Linked DNA regions of Coturnix japonica. Each later gene encodes a partner of the first gene's protein in a complex. Links are inferred from orthologs where the notes say so. Each region holds a gene or a part of one and is shown on either strand. Other genes may lie near its edges.

Region 1 (3,646 bases):
CTATACATCAACCTCCAAAATCATTATTCTCTGCACGTAGATTTTTTTTATCCATGCTGAAGTTTTACAAACACTTAAAATTATAAAATAATGTTTTAAAATTATTAGCTTCTTTGCCTGCTGGCACAACACAGGAAAGAAAAGGCCAAGACACAACGGCCGCTCTTTAAGAAATGCCTCCTATTTTACTGTGTTATCCCACAACATCAGAAGCAGATGTTGGTGGTATGGCAGTGGGGGCTGAACCATCCCACCAATATTCTGTTACATGTTGTTGCTGTGTGACAGAAGGCAGCAGAGGGGCAGTCTGACACAATGGCACCTGAGATGGAAGCACGGATAAGCAAAGGTGTGGAAGTGAATTCCTCCATCTGGAATAAATGGCTTCCATTGGAACTTACTGAATGTTTACGGAGACCAAACAGTGGGTGTGAGCACACTGAGGCAGTGAGTGGGTCACCTCAGCTGGTGCAGATTTTGACAAGCATGGCATGCAAGGTCTTGCTCATCATGGGCAAATATGCATAGCTAACAGCAGTGACTATGTTGAAAAATGGTGTTTCGTAGCTGAGAATTTGCTCCATCAAATTCTCTGTTGTTATAGTTGTTATAGTCTCTATATCTGTTGTAGTTTCCATGGAAATAAAATAGGAGGCATTACTTTCAGAGTGGTCTCTGACCAAAGTCTTCTCATACTCCAAGAACACAAATTACTATTATCAAACCTCTATTGCTGTGATGAAGAAAGAGGTTACTTATGCCTACATCATAATGCAAAGATACAGAATTAAGAAGACTGATCAAGTTTCAGATAACTGGCATCCATTTTTTTTCATTTGATTAGTAAAAATACTACACTGGGTTAGAGGTAGCATTTGATTGCCAGGAGTGTATTTGAGCTCAGTCCCCTAGCCTAGGGCATGAAGCGAGAAAGAGGAATGACCTGGGAACACAGGGATCATGAGGCTCCGGAAAGAAGTCTGGAAAACAGTCAGCTGCATGAAGCTGATTACACACTATGTAATTGGAATTGACACACATTTTATTACAAGGTTATCAATATAAACTAAGCATAAACATATCAACAAGACAGGTAAAGCACAATGATTTCTGATGCCACAATCTTGCCCAGAGTTAGAAAAAAAGAGCAGAAGTAACTGAGAAAATTCTGGCATCAAAACAAGCACCTTGGATGAGTTGCAAACCACTGCTTTCCATATTATTCCAGAATTTAAAGTAAAATATGAGGTCTCCATTGTGTCCAAATCAGTTAACTATTCTTACAGAACCACAATTTGAAACAGTTATTCTGGATTATCTCTTGACTAAATTCTTCCCAAACTCATAGATGGAGAGTTTTCAAGAAGATGTATACATACAAAAAACAAAGTCTGTTTCAAAAATAAACTTGGGAACATACTAGAAACATCACATACTTTAAAGAAGGAATAGTAGAAATTAAGTAGTCAGAAACAGAATTTAGCTGAAAGGCTTCAAAAATGGCTGCACAACTACTGACAGCAGCTTGGAAAGTTAGCGTTGAGAGACCGGAAGACGCAAAGCAACACTTTCAAGTTTTATTCTAATGGATAAAAAAATAGACTTTGAAAGCAGATCTTAAGCACGCCCATGGCTGCACAGGCATGGTCTGACCAAACAGCCTTACCTGTTCACAGTAAAAGGTTGTCGAGAGGGTTGCTGCTTTGGCATACATATTATGCTTGGAGAGCTTCTGTTGGGGCTGCCTAACCCTGAACTGCTCATGCTGTTTGTCCTGCTGGGAATTCCAATGCCCTGACCAACCTGGGAGTGGTTCATCATATTCCTAGGATTCATAGGCAATATCCCCCTGAAAGAGAAAAACCATCCACAGAGATGAATCTGTACAATAGTATTTGGTTACTCATTTAAATTACTCATGTAGGATACACTTAAGAGTTGTAGCAACTTAATTTGTGCTTAGACTCAACACTGTATGTTTGGAGTACTCTCTATAATTAACGTAGTTTTGGATTTCTTCAGAAACACCAGATGACCCATTGCGTACCAATCAAGTCCTCGGTCAGGTTCAGATAAATACTTAAGTACTATGCTTTTGAAGAGGCGTTACAACTCTTATTTAAAGAGCACTTCAGACCTACTACCTTAATATTTTCATACTGTAATACAGCCATATAAAAACATTTACCATTTGTTTACCAGAACAACTGAAAAACAGACTCTTACATTCTGAAGCAGAATTTGCCAACAACTTTACATCCTTTACATACAAAATCAAACACTGTCTTAAGTTAAGTCTTATCCTACCGTTTTACGGTATTACTTACCTAACACAGGCAGTGGTCAATAAAAAATTACTGTTTTTCTTTTTTAATTAATCAGTCTAAAAGTAGCTGTGGCACGATACGCAGAACATTTAGTAAGTGCTCTGCCGAAAGACACAATTGCAGAAACATTGGCTATCAATAAATACCTGCTCGGAGATGGAGGCGTGTGAAGTGACATTGTTGGTACCCCTGTTGTTGGCGTTACGTGGCTCGGTAACTGAGTGCCTTGTGATAAGCTGCGATTTAACTGAGGGGTATTGTTGCTCATTCCCCTCATTGGAAGGCCTAGTGCACCTATTGAAAAAAAATTCAGAGGGGTGGAGATACATAGCGATCCGGAACAAAGTCTTAGCCATCAGGTGTGGATGGAAACAACTTATGCTGACAACCTCAAAAAGTGTAAAGACTGTAGGAAAGTGCAGCGTAATATGAAGTCCTTGCTTGCGTACTACAAGCCCAGTTACCTCACACATAGCCCCATTCTTGTCAAACTCGAGAAAGGCTCTTTAAGTCACTAACAAGATTTTGTTTCCTTTGAGATGTACTCTGAATAGAAGAGGGGGAGCTGTGGTTTTGTTGACGAGGACATCTACATGGAAATCCACATATTTAAAAAGTCGGTGTTCTGAGAAAATAAACATCTCCACTGAAGAACGAGGTTATTGCAATTGAATAAATGGATACATATTTGGCCAGCATCTAGAACGTCCATCTAGCTTGTCAAAAAATACGCAAACCTATAACTAAGAAAAAATAAAACTAGGAATATTTCATAACATGGCTTTCAGAGCATCGGAATGAATATTTTAGGACACTTCTCTATAAAGTCTGAGTTGCTTCTTTTTGTTAAGGCAATTACAGTGTCCAAAGTCAGGTTAAACTTAATTTTTTGAGGACTGAAAGCAAGTAGAATTTAAGCATCCTCAACTAGGAATTAAAAGCACACAGGGCTGGTTTGGGGGCTTGCTTGTTTTGTTTTTTTTTACATTGTCATAAAAATTATTTTCTATGCAAGCATTTGGGTGCTGTGAAATTACGAAAGTACTTTATTAACGCGCGATAAAAAGAAACCATCTCAGTTCAGAAGAACAAAAAACAACCAGTCTCAAAACGTCAGAATACTTTACAGAGCTTCTGATCGTTTCCACGTTCCTTTTCTGTATTCATGAAGTTTTAAAATTATGTCCAAAGACAAGAGAAAGCCATTTAGTGCAGCAGATCAACAGAAACATGCTTGCATCTAAAACGCGATAGCTATAAATAACAGTCCTATCGCTTTGGTGTGAGGCTGCTGAGGAAGCCTCAGAGAATTTAAAACC
Region 2 (4,132 bases), on another chromosome or scaffold:
CAGAAGGTGCTTTTTGAAGCTTATCATACATCACTATTACCTTTGAATGCCATACATTTCTCCTAGCAAAAAAAACCCAAACCCTTTAAGTGACATGCCTTGTATATTTCAATTCTAAAGACTGAATGGCAATTTCATTCATAAGGTTATAGCCTGCATACAACCTTCATTCATAAACCTTCATTCAGTCTGCATATAACCTTCCCATCATGTGGCCCCATTTGAGCCAGGGACAGCACGTTACAAGCTCTACATATACAAACATAAACACAATAACATGACAAAACAAGGGGCTAATTTTAGACCTCTGCAGCCTGCTAGCAAACAGAAGCAGGAGGCTGCAGCCTCTGCAGCAGGGCTGCCTGTTGCAGCAGGTGCTGCACAACTTGAATGGGGAATTCTGGTTCACCACCCAGCCTCCCAGGCACGGTGGCAATCCAAATAACAACACACGGCACTACAAACAAGAATACTGAGCTGTTTAGTGGTAGTTTAACACGATTGCTTTTATTTACACTGCCACGCTTTAAAGAATAGGTGCTTTTGTTGGTGAGCTGGGAAAGCATTTTCTATTTGCTCTATCTTAGGAGTATTCTACCCCATTTTAAAGAGTGTTTTCCATCATGAACGCTGCACTTACTTAGAAGAATAAGACTTCCTAATATTCAGCATTGCCTGATCTTAGTGGTTTTTACCTTGATGAGCACCATGCTCACACAATCTGTGGCCTTTTGTAACGTGTTTTCAAGACTTCTTATGTAAAATTTCAAAAGCATTTACCTGCCCCTGCAGTATCACAGTCTCATCTACCTTTAAATTCCAGTTCTTCCTCTAAAATTCAAGCAAAGTAAACAGCCTGAACTCATTGTGTCTGCATAGAGTTCAACTCCAAAATGCAAACAGAAAGGGGATGCAGGGTAGTGTCCGTTTTATAAACAGACTGATCCACACGATTCAGATGAAAAGTGAGTAAAGAGTTAATCCAAATGTGAAGGGCTCCATGTCTGTAAGAGCATGAATAAACCCCCACAGAAGGCTTCATGGCCAGCAGCACACTCCACAGAGTCCAGATGAACCAGCAGGAAGAACAGAGGGCGGATAATCCTGTAAAATTACCCCAGTGGAAATGCTGATAAATTCCCAATTACGAGACCTGCTCTAAAATGAAAAAAAAATGCAAGATACAAAACAATTACCAGTCAACACTTGCACATCTCTGTCTTTAAGCCAGACACGTACTGCAGGTATTCCTTAATCCCTTGAATTCTGATTTGTTACCCGTTGTGGTGAGAGCTAGATTAAGAAAATAAACCCTAGAAAACTATCAATTAAAAAAACAAACAATCAAAGAGAAAATCCTGGAGATCTGCAACCCTGCTTACAAGGCAAATAGCTGCCTGCAGAATGACAGCGTGGGTTACTATTAATGTTGGGGTTGGAAGGGACCCTGGAGATCCCCTCCTAATAGGTTCCCTACAGTTGGTTGCATAGGAAAGCATCCAGATGGGTCTTGAATACTGCCATAGAAGAACATGGCCTCTCTGGGCTGCCTGCTCCAGTGCTGTGTCCCTGCACACTTGTAGAGTTAGACATTAAAAAGAAAAGAAGGGGAGGGTGGAGGAGGGGGAGAAGGAAAACAACAAACCAGTTTGACTGTATCTGTTATGGCTGTACTCTCACACTACAAAACGATGAGCACGGTTGATATGGATTTCTAATATTCACGGACAAGTCGTAGAGCTGCACCGTGCACACACCACGATGGAGACAGATGCTCAGACACAGACTTTCCTAAAGCCCCCTGTGATCCCAGCTTACAGCTCCCCACAAAGCCCTGAGCCACAAGCTCCCTGCGGGCACACAGGCCCCGCTGACCCACTTCTCCACGCTCCATGGGCTCACACAAGCTGCGAGCTCACACACGTGCGTGCTCACACAGCTCCACATCCCCCCACTCACCCAAGGAAGCTCCGTCCCAATTCCCCTCTGTTTACCCCCGCAGGTGTGTGCCCCCCCCATGCCCAACATGTCAGCGCTAGCCCCGCCCTACCCCGCCCCCATTGGCCGCCGGCGCTGCCAATCACGCTCTGAGCGCTCGGATTGGCTCTCCGTCTCTCCCCCCCTGCCCGGCCGCTCGCAGGGCCGCGGGCCGCCCGCTGCCACCACAGGCCTCGCCCCGGCAGCGCCGTCCGTCGGCGAGCGGAGGGTTGAGGAAGGAAAGGAAGCGAAATGGCTGGAAAATTGCGCTTTGGACCATTATCAGATTGATGTCATTTCCCTCTCTGCCTTTTGTTTAATTATTTTTAAACAGTTGGGGGAAAATAAATAAATAAATAAATACATATATACGTATATATAAAGAACTTGGAGCTTCCAGATGCCGTTACACTAATTCCTCTTAATTGCCCTCCGACACGATCGCAGCCCGATTCTCGCCGAGCAGCTGCCAGCTCGGCCCCCGCCCGCAGCCCCGAGCCCGGCCCGGCCGCCCCCGGCTCGCCCCGACACACAACAAAACAGCCCCCCCTCCTCTCACCGAACTCTCAGCCCCCCCATAGCGGAGGATCCCCCCCACCCTACGCCGCTCGCCATAATAACACGGCTCCCCTCCCCCCCCCGCACCCCCCACCCCCGTTAACCCCCGCAGCCCCGCTCCCCGCCCTCCCCGTCCCCCTGAGCACGAGCCCCCCCTCGAGGCGAGGCTCCTCGGCCGCCCCGCCCCGAGCCCCCGATACCTGTGGCTGCAGCATCCCCGTCCCCCCGCCGCCCTCGCTCCGCCGCCTGCCTGGCTCTTTGTTTCCTGCCGCGGGCCGGACGGGAGAGCAGCTCCCCCCCGCCTCCTCCTCACACTCATTGAAAGCAAACAAGCATCATGGCGGCGGTGGTGGTGGCGGCTGCTGCGGGCGGGCCGGCCCTTCTCCTCCTCCTCCTCCTCCTCCCTCCGCCCCGCCCGCCGAGGCCGCCCCCGCTCCGCGGCTGCGCAAGGCCGGACCGCAGGAGGGCGCTGAGCGGAGCTCGGGGGTCGCCTGGTTCGGGGGTCGCCTGGTTCGGGGGTCGCCTGATGGGCCCGGAGGGGTTTGTCGTGGCCCCCGAACCGAGGCGTGTGTTGTGGAGCTCCGGTGGGAAGGATAAGGGGGGTCACGGAAAAGTGGATAAAAGTGACGTGTGTTTCTTGCCACAGCGGTGTATGGCGGTAAAGCAGTTCCCAGTGTGAGGCCAGGGAGCCTAAAGGAAGTCTTCTTCTTAAAGAACTTTAAATTCCACATAAATGCGATGCAGAGCTGCAGTACATGACCTCAGGCAAAGCATGGATCGCATGTTTAGCAAAAGGGATGTCTTTTCCACGCGTGTATCCATAATAAAGCAGATCCTTGCCCCAGATCCTTCACTGTGCCATGGCCACGGGCTTCCATCTGCTGGAACTTCACTTTTCTTTTATGTTTTTGGTTATTTGAACCAGTCTGCATCTCCACATCAAAAGGAACGGTAAAGAGAAAACCTCAAGGGAGGTTCAAGATAGATGTCCATCACCAGAGCTTGTGATGGACACAGAACAGGCTGCCCAGGGCGGTGGGCATGGCCCTGAGCTGCCAGAGCTCAGTGGTCCTCGTGGGTCCCTTCAACTCAGGATACTCTATGATTCTATTATGCTATAAGAATTCCCAGATCACAACTCTGTTTCTGGAATGGGAAGGGTAAATAAGAGTTGAAGCCTCACTTGCCTTGGTATAAATGGATACATAGCTGGAAATGAATGGCACTCTCTTTGGTGTGCAATGAGGCATTCTCTACTAAGAATGTGAAAGGCACTGAAGCAGGCTGTGCTTCTGAGGAACACCAGCAGTAACCTATGTGAGCAGGGCTCTGAAAAGTGACCCCATTCTCGTCAGGAAGGCTTAGTTAGCCCTCTGGCACTTGGTTTGGGAAATAATCATGCTGTACTTCAGATTTCTGTTCAGTCTTATCCTATCATATATCTGAGATGTTCTCGGATAGCAAACTACCTCTCTGTGGTTGTGTCAGATACCTGAGCTGGCTTGGTCACTGGATGCGGCGCGGACTCTGCATTCAGTGCCAGCCTGGCTGTTCAGGGCCAACAGCCATTCAGAACTGAGCAAAGCAGCTCTACATG

The links. The genes of interacting proteins can lie anywhere in the genome.
Region 2: CNOT2 (region 1) and CNOT6 share a complex: the UniProt entries of both Homo sapiens proteins name them as parts of the CCR4-NOT complex. The link is inferred for Coturnix japonica from reciprocal best matches to the Homo sapiens genes CNOT2 and CNOT6.

What each region holds. Positions count from the first base shown.
Region 1 is NC_029516.1:32,450,363-32,454,008, reverse strand, and holds part of CNOT2 (CCR4-NOT transcription complex subunit 2), read right to left. Parts: intron 2,622-3,646; coding exon 2,474-2,621; intron 1,850-2,473; coding exon 1,667-1,849; intron 1-1,666. UniProt on the Homo sapiens protein: Component of the CCR4-NOT complex which is one of the major cellular mRNA deadenylases and is linked to various cellular processes including bulk mRNA degradation, miRNA-mediated repression, translational repression during translational initiation and general transcription regulation.
Region 2 is NC_029528.1:4,221,180-4,225,311, reverse strand, and holds the start of CNOT6 (CCR4-NOT transcription complex subunit 6), read right to left. Parts: upstream 2,922-4,132; 5' UTR 2,736-2,921; intron 1-2,735. UniProt on the Homo sapiens protein: Poly(A) nuclease with 3'-5' RNase activity.